Linked DNA regions of Lonchura striata. The protein of the gene in region 3 interacts with the protein of the main gene of each other region in a pairwise test. Links are inferred from orthologs where the notes say so. Each region holds a gene or a part of one and is shown on either strand. Other genes may lie near its edges.

The links.
Region 1: the proteins of RGS19 (region 3) and GNAO1 interact in a two-hybrid assay, tested with the Homo sapiens proteins (2 studies listed by BioGRID). The link is inferred for Lonchura striata from reciprocal best matches to the Homo sapiens genes RGS19 and GNAO1.
Region 2: the proteins of RGS19 (region 3) and GNAI2 interact in a two-hybrid assay, tested with the Homo sapiens proteins (2 studies listed by BioGRID and IntAct). The link is inferred for Lonchura striata from reciprocal best matches to the Homo sapiens genes RGS19 and GNAI2.
Region 4: the proteins of RGS19 (region 3) and GNAZ interact in a two-hybrid assay, tested with the Homo sapiens proteins (2 studies listed by BioGRID). The link is inferred for Lonchura striata from reciprocal best matches to the Homo sapiens genes RGS19 and GNAZ.

What each region holds. Positions count from the first base shown.
Region 1 is NC_134615.1:15,386,374-15,393,506, reverse strand, and holds the start of GNAO1 (guanine nucleotide-binding protein G(o) subunit alpha), read right to left. Parts: upstream 3,023-7,133; 5' UTR 2,900-3,022; coding exon 2,782-2,899; intron 2,703-2,781; coding exon 2,660-2,702; intron 1-2,659. UniProt on the Homo sapiens protein: Guanine nucleotide-binding proteins (G proteins) function as transducers downstream of G protein-coupled receptors (GPCRs) in numerous signaling cascades.
Region 2 is NC_134614.1:10,279,545-10,286,889, forward strand, and holds the start of GNAI2 (guanine nucleotide-binding protein G(i) subunit alpha-2), read right to left. Parts: upstream 3,014-7,345; 5' UTR 2,962-3,013; coding exon 2,844-2,961; intron 1-2,843. Other genes in the region: SLC38A3 (sodium-coupled neutral amino acid transporter 3), read right to left, coding at 6,215-6,319, 6,426-6,529, 6,991-7,135. UniProt on the Homo sapiens protein: Guanine nucleotide-binding proteins (G proteins) are involved as modulators or transducers in various transmembrane signaling systems.
Region 3 is NC_134619.1:6,745,294-6,752,959, reverse strand, and holds the start of RGS19 (regulator of G-protein signaling 19), read right to left. Parts: upstream 3,003-7,666; 5' UTR 2,949-3,002; intron 1-2,948. UniProt on the Homo sapiens protein: Inhibits signal transduction by increasing the GTPase activity of G protein alpha subunits thereby driving them into their inactive GDP-bound form. Binds to G-alpha subfamily 1 members, with the order G(i)a3 > G(i)a1 > G(o)a >> G(z)a/G(i)a2.
Region 4 is NC_134620.1:4,247,691-4,254,743, reverse strand, and holds the start of GNAZ (guanine nucleotide-binding protein G(z) subunit alpha), read left to right. Parts: upstream 1-4,053; 5' UTR 4,054-4,451; intron 4,452-7,053. UniProt on the Homo sapiens protein: Guanine nucleotide-binding proteins (G proteins) are involved as modulators or transducers in various transmembrane signaling systems.

The DNA.
Region 1 (7,133 bases), on a different chromosome or scaffold from region 3:
ACTGTAATTTCTACTTCTGCTCCTGCTATCTAACATTTCAAGGATTAACTGGGCAGTGTGTAACCTCTTCTATTCCTATGTAACAATGTCTGCTCTCTGTTCCTTTGTCTTAACATTCCCCAATCTGTCTATAGATTCCTGTGCTTGTTTTCAAGGCAATATCCAAGTGTAAAGCTGCTTCAGCCATTCATGAGGATGAGATTTATTATCTAGAAGCACACCAATAATACAGTATTAAAAAAAAAATAGCACTCTTTCATCAAAATCTAATGAACATGCGATTTAATCTTTATTAAGAATTCATTAGGTTCTCAGCAAGGCTGTCTAATGGAGCTTGACCAGGTGAAATGCTAATGCCTACATTATATTTGAATTAATTTTTAGCAATGTTGGTTTCCCCTCGTTGTTCCCCGCACATCGCTCTCCCTGGCGCCCGCGGCTGCGCGGTTCTCTCCAGATGCTGCTGCCGTGCTCATAGCAACACCGCTGTCCCCACCCCAGCCTCCACACACTTCACTGGAGTTTCCACACTCACAGATGCCTCCCCATTTCCCACACTAGAAGCCCATCCACCATAGCAGCTTCCTTGACGTTTTCATATTAGGTACAAAGCTGCAAGCCTAGCATGCCTTACTTTGAGTAGTTGTAATGAAATGCATGTATATATATACATATATATACATATATATATATATACATCCACAAAACGGGTATAATTCAGTCCTCAATATACCAATCTAGTCCAACAAACAGGTTATTATCTTGATATGATTTGCTTCAAAAAACAAGAGCTCTGCTCTTTGGAAAACAAGATTGTAGGCTTTTTGTGTAGCCAGTGTGGTCACTGCCTGCCCTCCTGCCTATGGGCTCTACATGTGCATTGTGCTGTTGTAGTTCCCACAGCCTCTCCCTTTAACCAAAACCCATCACCTGCCATTCCAGCATGCTTCTGCAGAAGCAATTCCTAGAGATTAAATTATTTATTGGTGTTCATCTGCAGCGACATGTCTCCTCATCCACGTTCTGCACACAAACAAGAGCAAATCAAACCTACCCCACCCCAGATCCAAATCGAACTATGGGGGAAAAGCCCTCTTTCAAACAGTAAAAGGAGACAATGAGAGCCTCTACAGAAGTAGGGTACACAAACGTCAGTGGGGAAAGCCACGGATACCACTGTGCACTGGAGGCAAATCTCCTCACAGTGAGACCTCCCAGCCCCGCAGCGCCTTGGGAAAAGCATTGCCTCAGGCGGGGATGATGGTTTCATTGAACCCCCGAGGGGTGGGCACAGCGGCCACGGAGTTGATACAGAAATATCCAGGTCACCCGCTAAGCCACCCTGCCTGGAGAGGAGCTGGGCTGAAGGCCCAGATCTGCCCCAGTGGTGCACGCACATGCACGCGCACATGCACACCCACATTCACACACACACGCGCACACTCTCACTCTCTCACACACAGGCACACACTCACACACACGCATTCACACACACGCTCACACACACACGCACAGGCGGGGCGGCTACGGGAGCTCAGGGCTGCAGCTTGCGAGGGGCACGGGCCGCTTTGCTGGTTCGGGGGCCCCTTTGGCTTCTCCGCGGCCCCTCCGGAGGCAGCGGAGCGCGGTGCCGAGGGGCCCCGCGGGCGCTGTCCAGCTCCAGCCGCTGAACGCCGCGCCGGGACCCGCCCGTCGGCCCGCGCGGCCCCGGAGCCCCGCGCCGGGACCCGCACCCCGCTCCCCGCGCCCCATCCACACCCATCTCTCAGCCTCTTCCCCTCGCTAAGCAATCCCGGTCCCGGGAGGGGGGGCCCTCCCAGCCACAGATCTCTCCGCAACCACCAGCATCGCAAAGCGGCAACCGCTCCCAGCTGAAATCCAGACCCTGAACCAGCGCCCAGGCTCGTTCCGTGATGGCGCCCGCCTCCAACCAGCCCGTCATGTTTGTAGCGGTGGGAGGACGGGATATTTAATTGTATTTTAATTTTTGAAAAAAAAAAAAAATGGATGGGGGGAGAATAGTCGCACCACGAGTGTACCTCCACCTCCATCAGCCTTCTCCGCACCTGCTTTCCTACGGGGTGCATTTACACGAGCCACGGGGATGCTTGTAAGGGACCGTGCGGTGGGGCTTTTCACTGTTGTTTATTACACGGTTATATCTAATTAAACACAGAAAAAGGGTGTGGGAAGCCCCAGCGAGGAGCAGCGCCGAGTACCACAGGGAGACTCGGATCCCAGAGCAGAAGAGATTTGAATGAGTGGCCAAGCTCGTCGTTCATTAATTAAAAGAAGAAGGTACAAGCTCGATAAAAGGGGCTTTCAGCGACAGAGAGCCTTGGTTTCAATCCGCAGAGCCGGCAGATAACACCCCGACATTAAGCAGAAGTGACAGCGGTTGGCTGCACGGGGACATCTGCGCCGAGGGGGAAGGTGGGCTGCCGGCCTCCCCGCACCGCCGCCGGGGGCGAGGCCGCGGGGCGCCGCTTCAGCACCAGCGGGCCCTGGACAGCGCCGGGCGCGGCGGCGGCCCCGCCGCGCTGCCTGCGCGGTCCCCTCAGGTAAACATGGCGCCCGCGGCCCTCGCTCACCTCCGCGAGCCCCCGCCCCGCTCTCCCGCCCCGCACCGCCGCTCGCTCGCTCCCCCCGCGGGACTTACTTCATTTGCTTCACGATGGTGCTTTTCCCCGACTCTCCGGCTCCTGTTGGAAGAGAGATGAGGTGGGATAAGCGCGGGGAAAGAGGAGGAGGGGGGCGATGGGGGGACCGGCGGGTTCTCACCGAGCAGGAGTAGTTTCACGTCTTTGGCCGCGCTGATCCCGTCCTCCTTCAGGTTCTTCTCGATGGCCTTGCTCCGCTCCAGGGCGGCTCTTTCCTCAGCACTCAGGGTACATCCCATGGCGGCGATGAAAATTAAAAAAAAAAAAAAATTAAAAAAAAAAAAGGGGGGGGAGGGGGGATGCAGCCCCCGCCGCCTCGGCTGGCTCCCGCGGACAGAGAGGAGGCGGCGGCCGGGGGGCAATAAAAGAATTAAAGCAAATGGCCGTGAGGCTCCGGGTAGCGCAGCGCCTCCGCGGCGGGGCTCCCGGCTCCCTCTTGCCCCTCTCTCCCCGCGCCCGAGCGCTCAGTGCATCCAGCGGGGCTGCAGCGGGCACGGCGAGCTCTTCCCGGCCGGGAGGCGGAGGCGGAGGCGGGGGAGGAGGTGGAGGAGAAGGAGGAGGAAGCGGGTTGGCGGCGGGGGAGGGCGCGTCCCTCTCCCGTGCTCCCGACTGTCGCTGTCCCCTCCTCGGCGGGCGGCGGCGGAGCCGAATGGAGGCGCGGGAGCGGCGGCGGGCGGGCGGCAGGAGGGAGCGCGGGGGCGCGCCGGGCTGCGCGCTCCCGCCGGCCTCGCCCGTGACGCGCGCGGCTCGCGCATGCTCGGGCCCGCCCCGCCCGGGCCCGCGGGCAGCGGCCGCCCGCTCTGCACGGGCGGGGGCGCGGCCCCGGTGCCCGGCCCCTCGCCCCGGGCTCCCGCGCCTTTCCCCGGGAGGGACGCTCCGCGGCTTGGGCTGCTGCCCCCCGGCCCGGTGACTCCGAGCTGGGGTCTGCCTAGGTGGAGGGTCTAAAGGGGAAGCCATACGAGGAGCGGCCGAGGGCACTTGGAGAGGAGATTGAGGGCAGAGCTCATCGTGGGCTGCAGCTTCCTCGGGAGGGGCCGTGCAGGGGCAGCACCGATCTCTTCTTGCTGTGACAGGAGCCGAGGGAGCGGCTGGAGTCATGCCGGGGGGGGAATTAGGTTGGATATTAGGGAAAGGTTCTTACCCAGAGCGAGCTTGAGCACTGGAACTCCCCAGGGCAGTGATCACAGCACTAAGCCTGACGGATTTCAAGAAGCCTCAAGGCTCTCAGGTGGAACTCTTGGGAATGTCCTGCTCTAGGACATCATCAGCCCCTGTTCAGGTAGGGCTAGGAGTTGGACTCGGTGATCCTTGCAGGTCTCTTGTGTCTCAGGCCATCCCACAGTTCTGTGGTCTGGCCCGGCAGCGCAGAGCTGAGTGCTTGGGGATGTGACAGCGGTGTGTGTACGGGGGCACTGGGCTCCCCTGGGCACTGCCCCGGCCACTGTGGGAACCCTGGCTCCCCACGTGCCCTGAGCATCCCCCACAGCTCCTGCACCCACACCCTGTGCCTGCCCCCACCCCACAGTGCTGTGTTTGTGACCTGACCTGCAAGGAGCCCTTTGGGAGCTCCTCACGGCTCAGGCAATGTGAACACTTGCAATGTGAATCGTTTACATGCTCCATGCAAAGCATCAGGTTTCACCACCATGTTGGATTATGTTTTCCATCAGTGTAATTAACGGAAGGTTTGGGTTTTTTGTGTTGCAGTGTGGTCACAGACCTCAGCAGATGACCTGCCTTCTTTTCATATCTATTCCATGACATCTAACAGTGATTTAAGAATTCTAGTGAATTAAAGTCCCACCATTTTCCTGGCAGGTTTTGCCATTTCACAAGGATGGAAAAGAGAGAAGAAAACAACTGTCGACAAGGAAAATAAAATAAATAGAACTTTGTTTAAAATGCTTTCCTACAGGCCCAGACAAGTTAAAATATACTCAACTTTAATCCATAACATTGATTGATATGTGACAATCTAGCTATAAAAAGATATAGAGAGGAAAGAAGTGTTGAGCACAGCAAGGTAAAATGCATCAAACTAAAATTAAGATAATCAAGGTTTGCTACCTGATCCATGGAAAGGACACCCACCATTTCAGTACACAAGAAATCTGCAAAGGGAGGTGTGGTTGTTCAGTAGATGTGAATGCTGAGGCTGCTGATTTTGCCCCCAAAAGCCACTCCACCTCTCTGCCAAAAAGCACCCAGCTACAGGAGGCTTGACAGGAACATCGCTGTGCTGTGGGAAGGAAATGCAGGGCTGCCCCACAGGCCTCGGGGAAGGCAGGGGGCTGCTGTTTGTGCTGTTGGGTGTGGGTGACCATGTCCTTACACTGTGTGCGTTTTCCACTTGGGACCTGATCGCTGCCTCCTCTGTGAGCATCTCACCTGCTGTCCTGAGTTCACCAGATCCCATATCCAGGACTATTTCCTTAGGGGTAGAAATGTAATTTCTAATAGCACTTAGAGTATTCTAAGCATGAAGTCACAGGCACTTTCCTTCCAGGCAACCATCATCTCCTCCCAGTGCTGTTTCCCATTTCTTCTTCCTCACAGAACATGCTCTTCCCATTTTCCCTCCTGACCTCTGAAACAAAAGGGAAAAACAGGATGTGGGTAACGAGGTAAAGAGGGGGTATGAAAGAAAAGCAGATAAAAGAAAGCAAAAGGTAATTTAGTGTATTCTACTATACATTTGTGAGCTAATAGGTACAATATATTTGAATTTTGGGTAATTTATTTCTGGAAGCTCAGGGAACTGAGATGGACAAGCAAACCTACAGCATGTCTTCAGCAGGGAATAAATGGAGATGGGTGTGGTTACAGAGCAGTTCCTGCTCTTTCATATTCGCACAAATCTCATGTGTAAAATCAATGGGATCAGAATTTCAATCAATAAGTTTCATTTCAATGGTTCTAGCTAGAGGGAATTACAAAAAGTCCTGTATAGAAAAAACACAACGAAGAAATCCAGAGGCAGCGTCCTCATGAGATAGCTGCATTTTCTTCCCATTTCCTCCAGCAGCTTGCCAGCCTTGGTCTCATATTGGGAAACTCTCCAAGGGTTTTACTAAGAGAATTAGTCTTTTATATCAGCCTCCGGCTACTCGTTATCTGACAAATTTGTAGCCTGGGTCTCCTGCCATGGAGAAAATTATTTCTCTTCTTCTTGACCAGTGTGGAGTCTGCAGTCATCCCTTTGTCCCATGATCATCCCCATTGCTACACAATAATCTGCTAATTTCTTTCTTAAGGGAAAATCAGAAATTGGCAAGTCTTCTCCTTGCTCTCTCAGCTCTCAGAAAAATTCAGGGGAGCAGCTGTGAAATTGAGCCATTTCTAAGCCACTTTTTTTCCTGCTGCTAACTGAGCAGAGCTGGTGGAAATGTTTCTTTCAAAATTTTCTTAGAGGGAAATTTAATTTTTTTAAAAAATCTGCTTATTCATGGCAGATGAATTTCAAGAACATGAAAGAAAAAAGGTTGCCTCCTCCACCAAACAAAATGCATTCCAGCCTACTTGGCTTTTGAGATAAATATATTGGGTTTTGTTGCTGAAAAAGATGTTTCCATTTTTCAGGAGCTGACAGGACTCCTCTTTTAATAAAAAGTGGTTGCTGGTAGTAACAACTTCAAATGAAAATAGGCTTCTTTTTTTCCCCCTTTGAAAATGAGAGAACCTCTCCATTAAAGGTGGAGAGGAGGCACTTTCTTTCTGGCTATCCCTGCAATTAAAGTATTTCATCAAGATACATAAAGAACTCGCTTGTTTCTGCTCAGACTGCTCTCTCCCAAACTTAAGAGTCAGCAGTGTATTTTAAGCAAAAGTCTTTATTCTCTTGTATCTGATCTGTGCCTCACCAAACCCAGCTTCTTTCTGCAACCAGTTTTCAAACATTGTGCTAGGAAAGTTAATCAGATAGTCATTTCTTTAAGAAGTGAAGGATGGTAACAGAACTGATGGATGCCATTGAAAAAGACTGTGCCAAAGTGGTAATGTGGGGTAGATGACAACTTTATGATCTCATGTGTGTTGTTTTATCCTGGCTGCTTCCAGACTGGGGAGGGATGAGCCTTCCAGAACACATCACCATCGTGGGCTCTGCTACCCAGCTCAAGGGTTTGTAGAGTGCTCTGCCTTTCTTCCTGGAATCACAGAACAGTTTGGGGTGGAAGGGACCTTTCAAAGGCATCTAGTCCAACCCCTCTGCAGTGAACAGGGAAAGATCCAACTGGGCCATGTTTCTCAGAGCCCTCCCCAGTCCTGCATTGAATGTTTCCAGGAATGGAGCATTCATCACCTCTCTGGGAACCTGCAGTGTTTCACCCCCCTCAAAATCAAACATTTCTTCCTTATATCTAATTTAAATCTACCCTCTTCTAGTGTAAAACATGACTTATTTTCTTATCACAACAGATCTTACTGAAATGTTTGTTCCCACAGCTTGCCAGGAGGTAGTAAAGAGGGGTGAGA
Region 2 (7,345 bases), on a different chromosome or scaffold from region 3:
TGCCTGGCTGTGGTGCCCCAGCTCCAAAGTTCAGCAGTGGGACACCATGAGCCAACACCAAAAAAAAATGCCACGCTTGGAAGAGACATTTCCTCCTCATGCTATAGGTTGATGCAGCACAAAGGGTGAAGCTGTTTTTCTCTCAATTTTTTCCAGAGGAGGCAGGAGGGCTGCAGCCCCCACAGAGGACCCTGGAGCTTGCTGAGAGTGATGAGGAGCTGTGGTGCTCACCAAAAAAACATGTGAGGCCTCACGTCTCCTCAAACCTTCCCCTGACCAGGAGAAAAAAACCTAAGCCATACAAGGGTGAGCAGCAGGGAGGTGGGAGGATCCCACCAGCACGGTCCCACCTCACAGAGGGGACATGTCACAAGCAGCAGCCCCCAGGGGGGCAGTGCTGGCCCCACCTCCCGGCTTGGGAGGATTTTCCAGCCAAGGCTCAGCTCGGAAATGGGCAGCACTGACCCAAGGCTCTAGTGCTATTGACACCTGACCAGCTGCACGGGGAAGGAAAAACCTTTTTTTTTAATGTACAGAAAGAGCCATTTTGCTCTATTTTTGGCTTTAGAAAGCAGCTGAGATCAGAAATGCCACTCGTAAACACCGGCCCCAGCAGAAGGGAGTGCGGACATCCTCTTCCCCCTCCTGCCTCCACTTTGGGACAGAGCAAGATCCAAGAAAGGGATGTCAGCTAGTCAGCCTACACCATAATCCTTGTCACCCAGCGAGCCCGCAGCTGCTCCTCGGGGATGCTCAGCACCAACAGGATGGGCCCTCCCAGCACCAGGTGATACTGCCTGGATGGTCCTGGACACTCCCAGGAGCCTCCCGAGGCTGGAGGTGCCAAACCTCTTTGGCCAGATACCTCCCCATGACTTCCCACCAGAGGAGGCAGCGAGGCCAGCACGGGAGCAGCTCATGACAAAGAGCTACCACATGCTTCTCCACTACCCCACATATCCCACGGGGCTCCACTCTCCCTTCCACAGAAAAAAAAATGGGGCAGCGAGTGTGCCCAACCATCGAGCCCCCCCATACAGCACAGATCCCTTCCAAATATCTCCAGGATGGGTTTTGCTGCCAGCACTGCTCGTGCCAAGGCAAAAAGAATCAAAATAAAATAAAACAAAAAAGAGACGCACTCTGATAAAGGAGCATTTTAAGGCGTAAATTACGTATTTCTCAAGGCAGGCAGGGGTTGAGCAAATAAAGGCCTGCCGGATTTCAGCATGACTTCCTGCTGCTGGCAGCTTCCTCTGCAGACAGCAGATGAGTCCAAAGACATTTTCTGTCAGGGTTCCCTCTGTCCCGCTGCCCCACGGTGCCATGGGAGCAAGCGCTCCCACCTCACACCTGGAGGGAGGCCCTCTCTGGGAATTTCGCAAAGGGAATAAAAAGCCCAACTGGGAGTCATTAAGACAAATAATGAATTAAAATAACGAAGTGCTGCCTTGCCCGCAGGCACAGGGCAGGGCTGTGAACGCCCTTGGGAGCATCACCAGGGTGCTTTGAAGAGCAAAAGCCCGTTATCAGAACCAAAATCGAGTGTCCCTGAGACAGAGAGCCCGTGGGATGTGGGGGGCCCTGCCCACGGCAATGGCCCAAGCCCCTCAAACCCCCACGGAGAGGGCAGGGTGATGGAGAGGCTCGGGGCTGTCCCAGTGCTCCAGTGGCAATGGGGCAAAGGGTGCCTGCCAGCCCCGTTACCTCCATCACATTACCTCCATCACAGCCAGAGGCCAGGGTAAGAGGAGCCCATGGAGGAGACCAGGGATCCTGGGCAGGTGGGACAGGGTGCCCGAGCTTGCAGGACCTTTGCTGGGGGGGGACATCCAACAGGAGAGTGGGGATGTCCCCACCTTTGTCCCAAAGGTGTCCAGACTGGACACTGACCGGGGGGACAGTACCATAGCAGAGTGACAGCTCTTTCTGGGGCAGATCCCCACAACCCAGGGTGGGGTGGCACCCTCTCTGAGGGGCAGCCAAGGTTTTCTGTAGGGCTGGCACCCTACTGCCAGGGGATCCCCAAAGCCTGGAACGGGGCTGGCATCCTGCTCACAGAGGGGTGGGGGAAGAACCCCACTGCAGAGAGGACCCAGGGTCTGCTGTGGGTACAGGGCTCCGTTCCTGTGGGGAAACCCTGGGAGCTGGGCTGGGGTCAACACCCCAGTCCTGGTGGGAACCGGATTGGGTTAACATCCCAGTCCTGCGGGGAGAGACACTGGGAGCTGGGATGAGGTCAACATCCCATTCCTGGCGGTGTGTGTGTGTGGGGGGGGGGAGGTATCTGTGGGAACCGGGATAAGATCAATAACCCCTTCCTGGGGGGAATCCCTAGGATCTCAGATTGGATCAACATCTCACTCCTGAGGGGGGCGATGCCTGAGGCGGGATCAACACCCCAGTCCTGGGGAGGATGCCTGGGAGCTGGGATAGGATCAACACCCGACTCCTGGGGGATCCCTGGACAGGATCAACACCCCAGTCCTGGGAGAGATCGCTGGGACCTGGGATGGAATCAACACCCGACGCCAGGGGGAAAGCCCAAGGCCTGCTGCTCCATTCCGGGGGGAACCGGGAAGGCTGGGGCGGGACATCCCCGCGGCCCGCGATGGAGCCGGCAGCTCGCTGTGGGGAGAACCCCAAGCCTGGGCTGGGGCCAGCATCCCACTCACGGGGGATCTCCGGGGCGGGGCGGGGCACTCCTGGCGCTGGTACCCAGGATGGCCCCGGGGCAGCGGGGGGCGGAGGTGGTGAGGCCGCCCGGTTCCGGCAGGGCCGGGCCGAGCCGGGCGGAGAAGCCAAGATGGGGGGCCCGGGGGTGGGGCCCGGGGGGCTCTTACCCAGCAGCAGCAGTTTCACCTCCCGCGCCGCCTTCTCGCCGTCCTCCCGCAGGTTCTTGTCGATCATGCGGGAGCGCTCGGCGGCCGCCTTGTCCTCGGCGCTCACGGTGCAGCCCATGGCGGCGGCGGCGGCGGCGGCGGCTGCTGCGCGCGCCCGCGGCTCTGCCGGCCCGGCCCGCCCCGACAGGCCCCGCCCCCGGGCGCGCGGGGCGGGGCCAATGGGCGGGGCCAATGGGCGGGGCCAGCGGGGCGCGGCCAATGGGCGGGGCGGGGCTGGGGGCGGGGCGCGCGGGGCGAGGCCGCTCGCGGTGGGCGCGCGGGCCCTCAGGCGGCAGCGGCGGGAAACGGCGGGAGGGGCGGGCTGTGAGGGAAGGGAGGGGAGCACCGTGTGTCCCGGGGTGGACACGGTGTGTCCCGGGATAGAGCTGTGGGTGGGACACGGTGTGTCCCGGGATGGACCCGGTGTGTCCCGGGATGGACCTGTGGGTGTGAGACACGATATGTCCCGGGATGGACCCGGTGTGTCCCGGGATGGACCTGTGGGTGCGACGTGGTGTGTCCCGGGACACAGATGGGGAGGGAGATGGAGTCCAGGTGTTGCGTTTCGGGGTCCTTTGGGTGCAGAGCAGCGGGTGCAGCCCTCGGAACAGCGGTTTGGGTGATGCTGTGTTTCAGGGCTACCTTTTGGGGAGACACGGTGTCACAGAGTGGTGGCTTAGAGCTTGGCATCTCTCACTCCTCAGGATCCCGTGTCCCCTGCCGCAGGAGGAGGGAGCTCCTTGGCAGGTGCCAGGAGCGGGGTGCCTGTGACAGGGAATGGGGCAGGATGGGGCATCTCCAGGTTTCTCCCAGAACAGGGGGTCCCTCAGGCACTTACCCCATGCCCCAACTCCCAAGGCTGCCCCCTTAGGAACTAGAACCCCCCACACTTCCTGAGGAGGCGGGCCAGGTGTGCCCGCTGACCCAGCGGACTGGCCCGTGCCCAGGTAGCCACCCTCGCTCCATGCTAGCCCCACAGCAGCACTTCATACCTGCCCGGGCCCTGCAGCCCCTCCACACACCCCCACCGGCTCCAGCTGAGCAGGATGAGGGCAGCCAGGGATGCTTTCAACTCAGAATGCCAGGGGAAGGGATAGAGCATCCCCCGTGGGGTCTGCAGGCCTGTGCCCGTGGGCCTGGCGTGGGGAGCAGGGCTGTTCCCGTGGGAGCGGGCTGCCGTGCTAACAAGGCTTTGCTAACGAGCTGGCACTGAGCCCAGACCTGGGGCTGGCGGAGGAGAGCGAGGGGCCAGGCCGGGGGGGCTCACCCCCACTCCGCACTGTGCCATGGGCGAGGGCTGGGGGCTGGCCCTGAGGGCACTGGGGGCACCCACTGCCCTGGCACCAGGCACGACATGCCCCAGCGCCGCTTCCCTGGAGCCCTGCTTCCAGAGCAGCCCCACTCCAGGGATACTACTGCCATGGCACTTGCTGGGGTTCCTGCTCCCATGTATCCCACTCCTCAGGAGTCCCACTCCCCAGGGCCGTGCTCCCACACGTGTCCCATTGTCCTGGGGATCCTGCTCTCACAGGAGTCCTGCTCCCCAGGGATCCCACTCCCTCGGGGTCCAGTTTCCCTGGGGTCTAACTTCCACAGGGGCCCTGCTCCCATGGAGGCCCCTGAACATCCATGTCTGCGTGTCTGTGCTGTCCTGATGTATGTCTGTGCTGTTTGTGCTGCTGTTCATCCGTCTGCACATCCATGTCCATATATCCCTGCTGTCCTCGTGCATGTCTGTGCACCCCTGTGGCCCATGTCTATCTGTCCGTGCCACCTCAGGATGCCGTGTGTGAGGCACCAGCCTGCGTGCCAACACCTCACCCGCCCCAGTGATGCCTGAGACCTGGGCACATTCACATCTTTATTCTCACCTCTGGCCTCCTGCCACCGCCAGCATCACTCCCACCAATAATTTACAAATGACAGAGGTGGCCCTGGGGCAGCCAGGCTGGTGACAGGAACAGCAGCAGACCCGGGGCGATGGTGAGAGTCCACGGCGGTGCCCCCCGATATGATGTGTACATTATACGGAGCTACCCAGAGCAACACAACACGTTAAAAAAGATCTGCTCTTATGTACAGTATTTATAAAAAGCATCGCAGCCTCCACCACCACATAAAAAAATACGTCTCTTATGTACTTTGCCGCAGGACAGACCCCCCCCAACCCTGTGCTGCCCACCCTGCTGGACTGCCCTCCATACTGGGAGGGGAGGTGGGGGGTGGGAGAGCCGCTCTCCGGGTTTTGGCATGGTTTGGGGCATCTCAGCGGCATGGATGGGTGGGTGGATGGTGAGGGCTGTAGGGGTCCAAGTGCTGGCCCAGGGTGCAAGGCAAGCAGGGACAGCTTGGGTTGCTGGGGTGCCCATCACCCTGGGGTGCCCATCACCCTGGCATCTGGGCATGCAGATGAGGGGTGCCTCCAGAGCCCTGAGCTTGCCCCCAGTGAGTGCTGCCCCCAGCCCCCCACAAGCCCCCCTCATATGCCCCTTGGGTGCACCAGGCCCCCAGCAGCCGAGCTGCAGCAGGGGCAGGATGCCAGATGCAAAGTCCATGGCGTGCATGCCACCTCCCTGGAGCAATGCAGCTGGTCCCCCCATCCATGGCCTAGGGGTCGGCAGGCTCCCATCCGCAGCAGCAGGAGCCAACAGTTCCCCTGGCAGGCTCAGGAGCAGCAGGTTGGGTACCATCAGCTGCAGCACGAGGACCACGCTGGTCCACAGGAACCAGGGTACCCCATGATGCCAGGGCAGTGGGTGGTTTCTCTTTGGGGATAGGGGGATGGCAGGGGAGAGGGTGGGTGGCTTGGGCACAGGTGCTGTCACAGGTCTGACCACCCCGCTGGATTCCAGCCCCCATGGACACTGTTCATCAGGCTCTTGATGCTGTCTGGGGGAGGCCAGGGAAGTGCCTGGTCCTCGGTCCCCACGGCAGGCAGTGCCCTGCGCCTCTGGCAGTGCCTGCTGCTGGTGGCTCTTGGGGTGCAGAAGAGCTCCACCTGACAGCCAGCTCCGGGTGAGGTAGGGCAGTATTATTCTCCCCATTTTACAGATGAGGAAACTGAGGCGCAGAGCAGGGAGGGTGCCCGCTGGAGTGGCTGGGGGGCACAGGACCTGCCCCGGGCTCACTGCCCCATCCCGGACACAGGTTGAGGAGTCTTTATGCCTGCCATGGCTCATGCCCTCTCACCATCACCACAGGTGACGGGCAGCAACAGCAGAAGTCCCCAGGGAATCCTGGTGGGGCTGCAGCATGGGGGCTGAGCCCAGGGTCGGCTCTCCCTGGGGCACCGGGTGGGTGGGGGGGAGGTTGGCTTGGGCACCCGGTAGTGGCTAGTGGCTGCCGCCGCTCTTCCCCCCACCCGTGGTCCAGTCGATGATGATGAAGCTCAAGCTCATGATCATGAAGACCACCCCAAGGAGGGCAAAGCAGGCAGCCTGTGGAGACAAAGAAGGGACTCAGGGAATGGCCAGGGCAACAGGGTTCCCAGCCAGCTTCAGAACCCATGCTTGCCCCCATCCTTGTACCCCTGCCCATGCTTACCAATATTTTCGGGGTGGAGCGCAGTGGCTCCTTATCCTTGGGCATGATACGGATGTAAAAGATGGCAGGGAAGATGAAGATGAGGCAGGGAGCAGAGGTGGCACCTGAAGAAGACAGGGACAGAGTGGGCAGGGACCTGCCACCCTGCAGCTCAGCCCTGCCAGCCCCACTGCCCGGACAGGTCCTGTCCACCCCCACCCCCTCCTTGCCCCCCCCAGTCCTGGCAAAGCCTTCCAGGAACCCAGGGACGCAGTGTGCTGGCACTGTCCCACACCCCTCCCGCAGCCCTGGCACCGAGCTGAGTGCTGAGCGGGGGGAGCCTGGCTGGGGGGATCAAGGGAAGCACGCAGGGGAAGAGCAATGCCACACTGTGCTGTGGGAACCAGCCTGCCAGGACAGCGATAGGATGGGCGATCCAGCAACCACCTGGTCCTGGCATGGTGAGAACGAAAAACTGAGGCACGGAAGGGTGGGACAAAGCTGAGCACCAGTCAGGACAGGGGCTGGCACGCTGCTGCAACACCCCGCAATCAGGGAGGGACAGGAGCAGGGCGCTGCCACCCACCAATCAAGCCGAAGATGCCGAGAATGGAGGGGGCAAAGATGACAAGGAGGTTGATGAAAGTCAGCAGGATCACAGCAATGGTGATGTGGCGGATCCAGCTGAAGTCTTTCCCTTGGAACAGCATCTGCTGGATGGCCCGACGCACCTGGGGACAGGGACAGGGTATCACGCTCCATCCTTGGAGCCAGGACCCATACCCTGTCACTGCAGCCCTGCTGGTCCCCATCACCCCTACTCTAGCCCTATCCCTATGGCCCTGCAGGTCATCATAACTCCTTTCCCTTCCCAAGCTCTGATTCTGATGCCCCACTGGTTCCTGTCACCCCTTCACAGCCTTGTCCCTGTGGCCCTGACT
Region 3 (7,666 bases):
CTCAGAACCTGCTGTTATTCCAGGCAAGAGCCCACACTGCTGAACCCTGAGTGTGGCATGGCAGTGGGGGTGCCTCCTGGCCTTGCTGTGCCCTGCCTGTTTTTTTTGGGGTGCTCAGGCATGGCCAGAGGTTGGTGCACAAACTGATCCGACAAGCAGGAGGAGCTGGGAGGGAAAGACAGAGCGGCTCTTACCTCCTCCTGAGTTTTCCAAAATTCTTTTATCCAAAGGATAAAAATTTGGGGGAAAAAAAGAAGAGGAAAAGCCCCAGGAGCTCGAGCTCATGCTCTGCAGAGCTTGAGGAGTGACACAGTGGCTGCTTTGCCACTCCTGACCTGTTGCTCACAGGGAAGAGCTCTGAGCACTGAGCTCACCCACTCACTTTGCATCAGCCCAGCTGAAAGCCAGGTCCAGCCTAAAAGCAAAGACTAGAAATGAAGCTCAGCCAAGAGGGGAGAGGATGCACTTCAGGAGATGGCCGAGATGGGCTGCTCCAGCACCTTGGGCAGACTCAGAACCAGCTACCCTGCCATGGTATTTTTCTCCCTTACCCCTTCTGGATTTCATTTCATTATTTATCTGCCTTCAGTTCTTTCTTTTTTTAAACAATAATACCAAAACTGCACCCTGACTGAGATACATTCGTGTCACTAAACTCCTGCTTCTCCACTACAATCCTGTGAGGTGGAGGTTGTTTAATTGCTGAAGAACATGACTGTATTTTGATCAGTGGCTTGAGTCATTTGTGGGGAAGGGCTGACGCGGAGCAGCTAAAATCCTTGTAGGGAAGTCTGATGTGGCTCTCTCCCTTGGGAGATACTCTGAAATATGTGCCCACTGGGGTGACCCGTTTTCCCAAAGAAAACTACGTGCACCAGGCCAGCAAATGCCACAGCTCCGCTCATCCAGCATGACATGGGATGAGCATCTCCACTGACAGGGATGGAGATGCATCCAGAGGGGAATGAACTCCCCTCGCAGCAGGGGAATCCCTCCCACTCGCTTAACACGTTTTGTTTAGTTTCTTAAATAAGGCCATGGATCCGTGCCAGAGCAGCCTCATGGAAGCAATGGGGAGAGGGAGCTTCCCGGGGAACCTCTCGGTGCCCGCACACGGCAGGGTGACCCACACACAGTGTGGTGGCCTGCACACGGTAGGGTGACCCATGCACAGCGCAGTGACCTGCACATGGCAGGGTGACCCAGGCACGGCAGGGTGACCCACACATGGAGTGGTGATCTGCACACAGCGCAGTGACCTGCACCACGGCAGGGTGACCCACGCACGACAGGGTGACCCGCACATGGCAGGGTGACCCATGCATGGCAGGGTGACCCATGCACGGCAGGGTGACCCACGCGTGGCAGGGTGATCCAGGCACGGCAGGGTGACCCACGCGTGGCAGGGTGATCCAGGCACGGCAGGGTGACCCACGCACGTTAGGGTGATCTGCACACAGCGCAGTGACCTGCACCACGGCAGGGTGACCCACGCACGGCAGGGTGACCCACACATGGCAGGGTGACCCACACACGGCAGGGTGATCCAGGCACGGCAGGGTGACCCACACGTGGCAGGGTGATCCAGGCACGGCAGGGTGACCCAGGCACGGCAGGGTGACCCACGCACGGCAGGGTGACCCATGCACAGCAGGGTGACCCGCACACGGCAGGGTGACCCACACACGGCAGGGTGACCTGCACACGGCAGGGTGACCCATGCACAGCAGGGTGACCCACGCACGGCCGGGTGACCCATGCACAGCAGGGTGACCCATGCACAGCAGGGTGACCTGCACACGGCAGGGTGACCCACACACGGCAGGGTGTCCCACGCATGGCAGGGTGACCCATGCACAGCAGGGTGACCCGCACACGGCAGGGTGACCCGCACACGGCAGGGTGACCCGCACACGGCAGGGTGACCTGCACATGGCAGGGTGACCCGCACATGGCAGGGTGACCCGCACACGGCAGGGTGACCCGCACATGGCGCGGTGGCCGTGCTGGCCCTCTCCATCCCTTGACCACGGAGCCGCGGTGCCAAGTGGCGGCACCCCGCGACGCCGCCCACGCGATGGGCTCGTGTTGGGCGACCGTCGCATGTCACATCCCTTCGGGGGACAGCCGCGTCCTCGACACCACCGAGGCACGTCCCTCAGCCACCCCTCGGCTGTGCCGCTGCTGGAGAACCCCGCGGGGACCGCAGCTGGAGGCTGCCCTGACCTCAGGCAACCTTCCCGAGCCCCGGCGGGCCGGGTCAGGGCCGCCCATCGCCCTGGCGAGGCTCAGCACCCTTCGCACGGTGCCCGGGGAGCTGCTCGGGCAGGGAGCTCCGCCCGGCCGAGCGCTGCGTGGATGCTCCGGCGCCGCCCTGGCACCCACCTGTGGGTGCAGAAGAGCCGGGGAGGCCTCCGGGAGGGGGATCCTCCCTGCAACCCCCGCCCCGGGCTGGGCAAACCCCGGTACAGCCGGCCCTGCGGCTGGAGGGTGCCCCCCTCCTTCCCCCTCTCCATCCTCCTCCTCCTCCTCCTCCTGCTGGCAGGAGCCCTGCCCTCCCCCGGGGGGATGCGGCGGGGAGTTCCCCCTCCCTGCTCGGTGCTCGGGGTCCCCACGGAGCATCCCCCCGCCCCAGCGCTCGCACACGGGGCCGCTGACCGGCAGCAGCCGGACACACGGACGCACGGACAGGCAGACGGGCACGGGCAGGGCTCTCCATCCTCCGCGGGGCTCGGCGCGCGTGGGGAGAGCCGCGCAGGAGGGAGGATGCCCGGGGCAGGGCTCCATGCAGGGGGAGCGCGCAGAGGGGCTGGGGGAGGAAGAGAGGGTGGGCAAAGCGGGGTCCGCCGGGGGAGCGAGGCTGGGCTGGGCACCGGGCGAGGGAGGGGGCGATGGGGGCGCGTCCCCCCCATCCGCGGCAGCCCCTGGCCGGGGCGCGGGGTACTCACGGGCCGGGCATCCGCGCCGCCGCCGCCGCCCCCGGCCGCCGCCGCTGCGCTGCCGCCGGGCTGGGCACCGGAGGGAGAGGGAGCGGCAGCGGGAGCCGAGCGGCGGCGGCGGCACTGCGCAGGCTCCGGCCCGGCCCCGCCGGCCACTTCCGAAAGCGATTGCAGCCCTGGCACTTCCTCACGGCACACACACGCACGCTCGCACACGGACACCCACCCGCGCCACCCACGGACCCGGCCCCCTGCCCACTGTGCCAGCGCCGGGCACCCACTGCTGTGCCCAGCATCACAGAACCAGCGCTGGTACCCAGTACCAGCACCCTGCACCCAGTACTCCACCCTGCACCGGCGCCCAGAGTCAGATATTGGCACACCGTGCTCCTACTATTGATACCCAGCACCATGCACCGAGTGCTGGTACAGTGCCGCTATTGGCACCCAGCACCAGCATCACGTACCCAGCACTGGCTCCCAGTACCAGCACCCAATAGCACACCCAGCACCAGCATCACGCACCCAGCACTGGGTCCCAGTACCAGCACCCAATAGCACACCCAGCACCAGCATCACGCACCCAGCACTGGGTCCCAGTACCAGCACCCAGCACCCAGTGCCACACCCAGCACCAGCATCACATACCCAGCACTGGCTCCCAGTACCAGCACCCAGTACCACACCCAGCACCAGCATCACGTACCCAGCACTGGGTCCCAGTACCAGCACCCAGCACCCAGTGCCACACCCAGCACCAGCATCACATACCCAGCACTGGGTCCCGGTACCAGCACTTACACCCAGCACCAGCATTGTGAACCCAATACTGGCACCAACACTGGGGTGTTCTCCCATCCCCAGAGGATGGGGAATGGCTGTCTGTGAAACTTCCCCCAGACTGCTTCCTACCTAAGCCTCCCTCCCCAGGAGTGGCTTTCCCTCTGTCAGTGGTTTCTCTGCTTTTTTTTTTTTTTTCTCAAAAGCGGGGATTATACATCACTAAAAATAAAGGGTGATAAAACTTTGGGAGAGAAAAGAGGCATAAAAATTTCATGATCTTGCCAGCCAGGGAAATTATCCCACTTCATTATTTAAAACCTCATTAAAAACCATTTCCCTGGGAGAGACAATGATCAAACCGCCATCTATTTCAATCCTCGAGACGTGCACTCAGCGACGTGGGGGACGTGTTTAAAATAGGCCCCAAATGTGACTCCTGCAGTGAAAACTCCACCCCGACCCCCACCCATGCGAGCAGCATCTCTGAGCTGAATCCCTCTGCCTCTGCACTGGGGGATCAGACAGACCCAATGTGCCTCCCACATTTTCAACCTGCCATGTCCAGCACTCTGGATTTTCCTCTTTTCACCCATTCAGGTCACGACAGTGGGATCTACACAGCTCTCACCCAGGGGGGACTTCTGCAGACAAAGCAGGGTCCCTCCTCTGACTGCAACTTGTGCAAATCTTCAGAGCAGCTCCAGTGTGCAGTTGTGACTGCCAGGCTGCTCCCTCCTGCTGTGTGACCGGGCCACCAGCCCTCACGATTTTCTTTAGCAATTCATTTAACTGGAAGCTCACATAAATGCCCATAAAGGCTCCCACGTCCTCAGGAACTGCTTTGTAGTGTGTGTTTGGGATTTTTAGAAATTCCCACAAACATTTGCCCCATCCCTGGAAGTGTTCAAGGCCAGGTTGGATGGGGCTTGGAGCAGCCTGGTCTACCGGAAGGTGTCCCTGCCCATGGCAGGAGGCTGGAATGAGATGAGCTTAAAGTCTTTTCCAATCCATGCCATCCCAGGATTCTATGATTTGGGCTTGTGATTCCTTGTGATTCTTCATCCCATCTGTCCCTTCAGATGATGATGAGAAACCCCCTTTTCTTTTTAACAAAAATGTGGATTGTGAGGAAACGCCTGGAGCTTCCGAACCCCCTGTGCAATGGGGCTATCAGTGAACAGCCAGACTCGCACCACTGGTTGCTCAGGGTGCTCGGCCTCGCACCTTTCCCAGCCATCGGAAATGCTGCCAGCGATAGCCAGGAACACTGCTGCGTGTCTGAAAGCTGCTTTCCCCCGTGCCAGCCTGGAGAGCTCCCGGGGAACGACTGGCAGCATCCTGCCTCACCCGGAGGCACCGGCGGAGAGAGCGGCAGCCTCGCTCGAGCCGTGTCGGTGCTGAACGGTGACAGCCGGGGCGGAGGCGCCGCCCGGAGCTCCCGGGGCCGTTCCCGGTGCCGCTCCGCAGCGGAGCCGTCCCGGCGGTGCCGGCCCCGCTGCAGTGGCGGGACCTGCCCGCAGGTGCCGCCCGACTCCGCCGGGAGCGCGGCCGGCGGCGGCTCGGGGGCTCCGGCGGGTCCCGGGCTCCGGGCATCCCCGGCGGCTCGGGGGCTCCGGCGGGTCCCGGGCTCCGGGCATCCCCGGCGGCTCGGGGGCTCCGGTGGGTCCCGGGCTCCGGGCATCCCCGGCGGCTCGGGGGCTCCGGCGGGTCCCGGGCTCCGGGCATCCCCGGCGGCTCGGGGGTCCCGGGGGCTCCGGCGGGTCCCGGCGCTCCGGGCATCCCCATGGCTCGGTGGGGCCGGGGGTCCCGGCCGCTCGGGGGGGCGCTGGCGGCTCCCTGCCCCCGCCGATCGCCGCGAGAAGGAGCTTGTGCAGAGCTGGGGGCGGACACGCTGCGGTGTCCCAGGAGCCCGGGAGCTGCTGCCGGTTCCTCGGGTACCCGATGGACACCTCGGAAGGAAGTCCGGATAGCAAGAGATGGGCATCCCATCGGTGTTGCCCCTAATTTTTTGTTGGTGTTGTTAAGTAGGGTCAGCAGGACCAGGACAGACACTGCCCTCCCTGTGCTGGGAACTGCTGAGGTCACACCTCAAAACCGGTGTTTGGTTGACAAGGTGACATTGAGGGGCTGGAGTGTGTCCACAGAAGGCAATGGAGCTGGTGAAGGGCTTGGAACACAAGAAGATCTCGAGGGAGCTGAGGGCCCTGAGTCTGGAGAGAAGGAGACTCAGGAAGGACCTTCTCACTCTCTGCATCTACCTGAAAGGAGATTGTAGCTAGATGGGGGTTGATTTCTTCTCCCAGGCAACAAAAAACAGGACAAGAGGAAATAGCCTCAAGTTGCACCATGGGAGGTTTAGGTGGGATATAAGGGAAAATTTCTTCCAGAAAAGGTTGTCCAGCATTGGAGAAGCTGCCCAGGGCTGTGGTGGAGTCACCATCCCTGAAGGGATTTAAAAGCCTTGTGGATGTGGCACTTGGTGACATGGTTTAGTGGTGGGTTTGGCAGACGTGGGGTAATGGTTGGACTCAATGATCTTAGAGGGCTTTTCCAACCCAAACAATTCTGTTTCATTCTGATTCTGTGATTCTAAGAAGGTGCTGGGTGAGCAGAGGTGAGCTTTGCCATAGGCTGCAGGGAGCTGTGAGTACAGCACACCAGCACCTGCAGAGCTGGTTTTCCTCTCCAAGGAGGACTCCAGTAACTCCAGGCAGGATGCTCAGGAGCAGGAGGCCTCTTTTGATGAATATCTGAGACGAGCCAGCCTGTGTCAGGACTGAGATACAGCAAGGTTCCCAATGGGTCTGCAAAGCACAGTTTGCTGGAGAAATCCTGTCAACGGTTGCTCAATGCCATCTCCAAAGTGCTCTGCAGTGTCAGCCTGGCTGCAGCAGCAGAATGGGCTGATCCCTTCCAGGGTGTTTCCAGCCTGTGTGCTTCTTGAGAGGCTGGCAGGTGATGAAGCTGGATGGATGAAGGCTTCAGAGATGTTTTGCTTTAGGAAAGCCTTTCCCCCCACCAGCTATCTGGGCTTTTTAAAGCTTTCCAAGCAGCAGAGTGTATTCAGACTGGAGTGACCAGAAGAGATGCTCCTGGCACTGGGTTCTGAGGAAGCAACAGTCCTTGAGCTTCTACAGCCCAAGTGAGAGGCAGAGGAGAAGCAGCTCTGAGCACAGCCTGCAGGAAGTGTTTGTCAGAGCTGAGATTGGAAAGATCACGTTCACCCTGTCCCTGAACACGCAGCTCCTCTGCCGAGGGCAGCTGGGGACACGCTGAGGTGATGCTCTGGTGTGTGCACAGAGCTGGCACGTGAGGGTGCAGGAAGCAGAGCTGCTCTGGGGACCAGCCCTGCTCCAGGGCAAAAATCCACCCTGTGAATCTCAGTGGTGGAGCTGTCTTGGCAGAATACCTGCTTTGAGGTGTGCAGTCTCATCACAGCTAATTTTTTCCCTTGTGAGAAGTACCTGTGCACCCTTTACAGCCTTTTTACTCTTTTTTAAGGCCTCAAAGCTTCCTGTGGAATGTCAGAGACACGTTTCCAATCCCAGTCTCTGCCTCAGCTATCAGGTGTGCTACAAACCTGCATATCTCTGTGGCTCCCCAGGGCTGCTCACAGGCTGACTCAAGAGTCATTCTGTTGGGGTCATGTTTTTGCCACAGGGACCTGAAGTGCAAAGATTGCCTCTCCTGTACTCAATCTTGAAGATAAAGCAGCAACTTGAAGTTCTGGAGTGTGTCTGGAGGTCGTGGAGCAAAGTTTAAGAGAGGATTTTGCACTACCAGGCTCAGAATTTGGTCTTTAAATTCTATCCCATTTAGAGGGAAAAGGGTCGATTATTTTGATTTCCTAATGTAACAGAGCTTATGCAATCACATTGTATATCAGCCCACTCATGTTCTTCTAAATTATTCTCTTCAAAATATTTTTAACCCTTTGGCCATTT
Region 4 (7,053 bases), on a different chromosome or scaffold from region 3:
ATTATAACATTTTTTTCTAAGTATCTATTAAATTATATATAATCCTTCTGAGGGCCCAATTTGGTACTTTGTCATCTGGTAAGAACATAATTGGCAAAACTAAATATATATGAAATCAATACATTTCTTTTTGTTCTTTGTTATTACAAAAAAATTTTAAATCCCCACTAAATGCCTACTGATGTCCTCAAATGGGAGAGATCTACTTTCAAGCCACTTTTCAGTGAATATATTTTATCATTCATATGAAGTGGAAAACCTCCAACCAGGAAGATTGCAGGAGGGAAGAGGATACCCTAAGAACAACCAACAACATGTTGCTCAGACCACTTTAACAGAAGATCTGAAGCTGGTACAATTTGTTTTAAAAAATTCCTGGCACTCTTTAATTGCATCTCCTGGGACTAATTCCCAAAGATCTCTGTATTTTGATCTCAAGTGATTTTTTTCTCTTCAACCTTCATGGATCCTTTGTTGTATACTTTAGTAAGTGATCCCCAATTTGGGTGAGTGTTTGAGGTGTTTTTTTTTGTTTGTTTGTTTGTTTTCCATTCCTTTGCCCTTAATAGTGACAAATGAACAAAGAATATTTTAACTTACTTTTTAATTTTTTTTTTTTTTAATAACAGAATAATGCAGCCTTGAAGGACAGGCTCTTTAAAAAGAACTATGTTCCTTTATCTTATTTCACAGTATCACTGTAGCTTTCTTCCCATGGAGGCTCTGAAGGAATAGGAGTGCATGGATCCATCCCAAAGCTTAGGATAAGCAAGGCCTGCTGTGGAAAGTTTCCTGCACAGGAAAGCCAAGGTACCTCCAGGGCTCTGGGAGAGCAGCTCTCCTCCAGCTGCTGGATTTAATGTTTGTTTTTCTCAACTTGGCTTCAGGAGCAACTGCTGATGCAGCAGCTGAAACAATGAGCTGCAAACACAGTAGGGATATAATAGAACTGTGAAGGGAGGGATGTAAAGTGCTCAGCATTTGTAGGGTTTGGTTGTTGTTTTCTTTTTAAAGAAGTTCTTTTTTAGTTGATTGTGATATTAGATGTAATGCATTGTCTGGGTTCACATTCTCAAATATCTCTCATGATTTGCTCTCATAGGAGGAGTAAACTGCTGATATTAAGCAAAACCCTCAGTTACCTGAAGGGTGAGAGAAGATAAAAGGGTGAAATCCTGGTAGAAAGTGAATTTTCATCCTAAATGATGAAGCCAAATGAGGTCAGGCTGATACCACCTGATAGAATGTGCATTCATGATTTTTTCCCCACCATCTCAGAGTCACTGATACAAAGCAACAATATATCAGATAGATATAAATACCAGATCCCAATCATCTGTTCATGATGCTATTTTAAACTCTTCCACGTGAGAAAAATGGTTAAAAATAAAAATACAGCTCTTTTATTTTCCGTTAAATGTTCTGTTCAGTTCTTCATGCTGAGAGAATCACAGACCTGTCTATAAATATCTAACCCAGATCTACAATTGCTTGTTAAAAAGAGAGTGTTTGGTAGAAGATTGAATGAAATACACTATATCTTTTATTATATTTTTATTACAGACCAGATGTGGCCTCTGTCATTTGGAGATGTATATTCACCAAGAACATTGCATGTGTGCATATAAATATTTTCATGTTGTAATGGTATAATAAAGGGAAATTGGTTAGAAAAATCCCTATGGGATTTTCCACTTAAGAGCACATTTTTGTTTTAGCACTATTGTCTTCAAAATAAACATGTATGAATGTATCTATTTTGATTGATCCAGCAGAAAGCAGCTGTAAACAGGCAAGGCTTTGGCTTTTGGTTCATGAATAGCCCTGGCAAGTTGAGTGAAACTTGTGCAGCCAACGAGCCCAGGAGGTTGTGTCTTGGATGCTGCACCTTGAAATGCTGCTCCCTTCAAACTCAAGCCTGCTCTGGTGGGGAAAAATGGTCACCACACTGACATAGAAGAGGAAATGGAAATCCAGTCAGATTGCACAGGTCCCTAAAATTACTCTTTATATTTCCACACAAACTATTCACTCTCTACAGTTATTTCTGTGTATTCAGTCTACCTGTTTACAGAGCACAACATTCAGAGTCCTGGGCTAAGGACCTGGATTTCTGTGCTGTTTGACTTTTGGCATTTAATCACCTGTCCAGGCTATTTGGAGACTTATTTCTCTTTACATTCCTGTGGGAGCTTAGCTACATGTAATGCAATCAATACATGCTGAAAGGCCCTAATTGAGGATTTCTGGATGCAGGACAAGGTAAGACTGAAGAAAACTTAGACATATCTGCTGAGGTATTTTTCGGTCATGTTGGTTTTTAACTCTGCCATTAATCAGCAGCAAGCTCCCATATGGTAGTGTTGAAATAACTGCTCCTAAACTTCTCAGACTTGTCTCATTACTCAGGTACTGCATGTTTGTAATTCCTTCACTGCCAGCATTTGATCTATACTCTGGTGCCTCCCTCAAAGCTGGAGGAAAGCAGGTGTTCTGTTCTAGCAGTGGAAAATGCCTAAAGCTGCTCTCTCTGTAGACAGCATGCGAATGATGATCGTCCTAGCCAGGATGATGGTGGTTGGTGCTTTATTTCTGCCACAGTTGGTTAGTGTGTGGAAGATGCCTTTTCTCACATATCAAGTACTATGCTAAAGATACATGTAATGTGACAGTTTCTATAGTAACTACTTTATGGAATTGCAGATTAAACCTGTACACCTTGTTATTGTTCTTTTATCCTATTATCTAGACTACTCAGTTACCACAGATACTTTTTTTTTATTCTATTCCCTTGCCAACATAACTATACCAGGGATTTATTCATTTGCAACTAAAGAGTATATATTAAAAACAAAACACTTAGAAGTTTTAAATTGACCACTATCTGATCTTATAAACGGAGATGTTTGTGCATGTATATTGAAAGCTAAAATTCCAAAACAAGACTGTAGAAATATTTTTATTAAAGCAGGTCAAAATTATGATTTGAATATTATTGTTTTGCTGAGAGAACAAAGCAAGTTATGTATTTCACATTTATTTTCTAACAAATTTTACTTGAACAAATTTGCCTAGATGTACTAGCAAACTTTTAATATGAATGACATCTAAGATTCATTATTATAGGAAAATTTTCTCAATATGGTATACTGATTTAAACATGAAATTATTTCATTCTTATAATTTGTCAATTCTGCTGATAATATCAGTACTGGAAGTGATATCATTTACAGGAATCAGATGCTTTCTGCTTTGTATTATGTTAGCCTTATTGTGGGAAAAAATGCCTGCATCCCGTCTGCATGTGACAGTGTCTGTTGCTATCTCCGGCAGAAGTGTATCAGTTACAAATCAAGCTTATAAAATTAGCAGTGTAGGGAGAAATCAGCTACTTGATCAGGGCTGCAGATTCAACAATGCAACTAGTACTGTAGCCAAAAGGAAAAAGACACTAGGAAAAATGTAAAATATGAATCGGGTAAATCCAATAATGAGATAAAAAGAAAACGATACTCATCGTTAATTAAAGAAAAAAAAAAGCTGTAGTAAATTACACATACACAAATGCAAAAGGCAAAAGGGGAAAATCAGAAAAAAAATATCCGCCCAGTACTGAGAGCAACTGAGTGATGGTAGAAGTGGAAAGCAAACAGCCGATAAATCCCGTGTAACTAAAGAAACTGTTTTTTCTCCCTTTACCCTTGACCGTATCCTTCCAACACGTATGTGACTGGTTGTGGAATCAAGCCTAAAACTCGTGCCGCTGCCAGAGCCGGGCACTGCTGTGCTGCAGCGAACATGGACCCGCGGAGCGGCCCCGGGTGCGGATGCAGTTGTGCAGAGGCAGAGCCCGTGGCACGTCTGTGCCCGCACATTATGTAACGCGCGAGTGCAGCGGAGCGTACGAGCCGGGGAAGAGGCACAAACCCCTCGCCAACACCCAGCTCCTTCTGCGCCGCGGCGGGGCGGGGGCTGCGGGGGCTGCGGGCCCGGCCGCCCCCCGGGCGGCAGCCGGAGCCGGAGCGGAGCCGCCCGCCGGCCGCGCCGCCGCCCCGCCCGCGGTACCCCCGCCGTTGGCGTGGAAACGGGCTGGCGGCTCCGGCTCCTCCTCCAGCGCCAGCCCCGCGCTCCCCCTGCCCGGCTCCCCGGCGAGAGCGCGGAGCACCTCCCTGTCTCCCGCGGGGGGTCGCCGGACAAGTGCTCCGCGGCCGCCCTTAGACCAGCCCGGGTTTTTTTACGGTTGTGTTTTCTAGGGAGAAGATGGGAAAGGGCAGGTTCGTGCTCCTGCTGGGGCTGCGGGGCTAGTCCCTGCAGTCGTGGTGTGTGTCTGCTCGGCAAATCACAGATGCTGATGTGAAAAAGGGCCAAAGCAGAAGAGAGGCGTCAGTGGATGAGAGCTGTTTGTACTGATGGATTGAGGAGGTGGAGGCTGCCCGCCTGGTGCTGGAGAGGTGAGTGCAATATTCCGCATTTCCTTCTCTCCTAAATCAGTTCAGTGATCAACATTTCCAAAAATAAAAAGGAACTAATATAGCAAGAAGAAAAAAAAAATGTTATTTTGAAACAATAAGCTATGCTTCTGCTGGATAAAAAACACGAGTGTCACAGTGAGGTAGGGACATTTCGCTGTGTGTAGACAAAAAATAGTAAGGGGAGGCAGGCTGCTGATACAGTGAAAATGACCTTCTCAAGGGATACTGGCCTTCTATTAGCTACTGCTTCAGCTTGGGCCCTTCTTCTAAAAATTAAGTGATCTCCCATTCCTAGCCTGAATCGTAACCCATTAATAGCCAATACCTGAGCCTTAATAAGATCCGTTGTGTTCCCTTAATGATTCAGAAAGATAATCCATTCGATTCTGCCTGTTGGGAGAAGAACCTCCACGCTATGTAGCACCTCCTCCCAGGGAAATGCAGCCTGGATAGCATTCTATCAGAAAAGACTCCTGCTGCCAAATTTCCGTAATAAGTCCTCCTGGTAGCAGTCTCATCTGCTCATTGGAAGGATGTGTGGCTCTGCAGAGCCTGGGTGCATTCCCTCTCCGTGTGTGCCCAGGCATGTGAAGGAATGAGGAGGGTTTCTATTAATCTGCACCTGTGGACGGCTCCCATCTGCACTTGTGAACCACAAGTTTTTTGGTATCTTTGCATTTGCATTTTGGGTGAGCACTTAATACACAAAACCTCCAAGCCTTCAATGTTAGCTGAGAGAGCTGCAGACAAATAGATGTCAGTTTAATTTCTGCTCACAGAACTGATCTGATCTGCTTTTGGCTGTTTCACTGTAGAAGACGTTTAATGTGTGTTCTTGCAGTATTTGTTCTGCAAGATACTGACCTATCTCAACATCTTCCTGGGAAGATTTGAGAAAAAAATCCCTCCATCATGTCTTTATAGTTGTTTATATCCATTTTCTGATAGCCTCACACCCACAAATTGATTTTTATTTGGGCTCAGTATTTCGCGCCATTGTGGGTCACACCCTTCGGGTGGCCATCAACATTTCATCCATAAAGGTTACAACAGCAGGTCAGGTGTTGTGAATGCCTACTTGTGGATCACAAAAGGGCAAAAAATGAGTGTGTACTTTGGACTTAAGGGAAATTTTGTCTGACTTTGTGGATATAGACATTGGAAGTACGAGCTGATGCCTTAGGAGCTGCTATAGGCAGAAATCCTCACTTTTCTTCAACAGGCACAGATTTGACAGCTGAACAGACACAGCTCTGCAGAATAGAGAGTGTTTTGCCATTAACCTGGCTGTCTCCATCAAATCATTTGTTTGGAAGCTATCATGCAAAAAGCTCAGATCCCTGCCCTTGGATTAAGGACATTATAGGAGGAGAGGCCTATATATATAGAAGGATGAAGATGTAGTCTTAAAGAAGCCAGCGACAGGTGTAATCAAAATAAAACCTCTTAGTTATAAGGCATATTTAGGAGAAAAACTCATGCTATCTTTTGTTACCAAAGCACTGATTGCATTTTCAGAGAAGAAACCCCTCCTGTGTACATATGTATGCTTATAAGGAAGAAAAGCTGATTAATTCTGTGCAAGGCATGGAATTTCACTCTGACAATGAACCTTACAGAGAGGAATAAACTCCGCATGCTACGTAAAGAATGCTACACCTCTGGCTGAGATTATATGCTTGTCACTTCATAGGCCACTGGTGATAAGAGTTGAATAAGTCTTCTGAAGATGCTACCTTGAATTTTGTAAGCCTCCAGAACAGTTTAATGTTTCAGTTGCAGACCTTGGTTTTGAATTTAGTGTCGGTGATCTAAAAATAACCAGCCAGGTAGCTCTGAAGGACTGAGGTGAAAGTGTTCTGGTTGTCTCAGTTCTGACTATGCACTGATGGAACAAGGTGTGTTAAATTTTAAGAAGTGTACCTAGAAACAGAAATTTGTCCCTTCTTAAGGAATCTACCTGCTAAGTGGTAGGGAAGGGGATAAGGATAACAGAAAAATCAGTAGGTAATAGAAGCTCAAATCCTTAAATGGTGAAGTCAGCTTTTCCTCTGTAGCTTAAGCAGATAAGGATTTTGACAGCAGCCTTGGTTGATACACAGAGGTGAGGCAATATAGGGAATGATGCTTTATTCTCTCTCCTCCTCCATAAATTAAAGATAAATACTTCAAATTCCTTTGGGTTAAATCACAGTAATCCCACTTATTTCAGATGAGATTCTTCAGATTTATGTAACTGAAAATGAGAGTTGAATCTGACTATTTCTGCTAAAGTTTTGTTCCTGCTTTCACAGGAGTCACTGGAAGTTTTGTCATTTATTTCAGCTGGAGAGAGCCCAGGACACACAGTTTCACTGATCAGGCTCCCCCTTGCCTTTAGGAACAGCAATGTTGAACAGTTTCTTAGCTGGTTTATGTGAGGTCACAGGCTCAATGACAAATTCAGTAACTCTCTACTTGCATCACAAACTAATTCATAAATTATCAGTTACTTGAATCATGCTTTTTTGCTGAGAAAATGGGAGTGTTATGAGTGTTATTCCCATGTTAAGGTTGACAGTACCCACCCTCAGCAGTAATA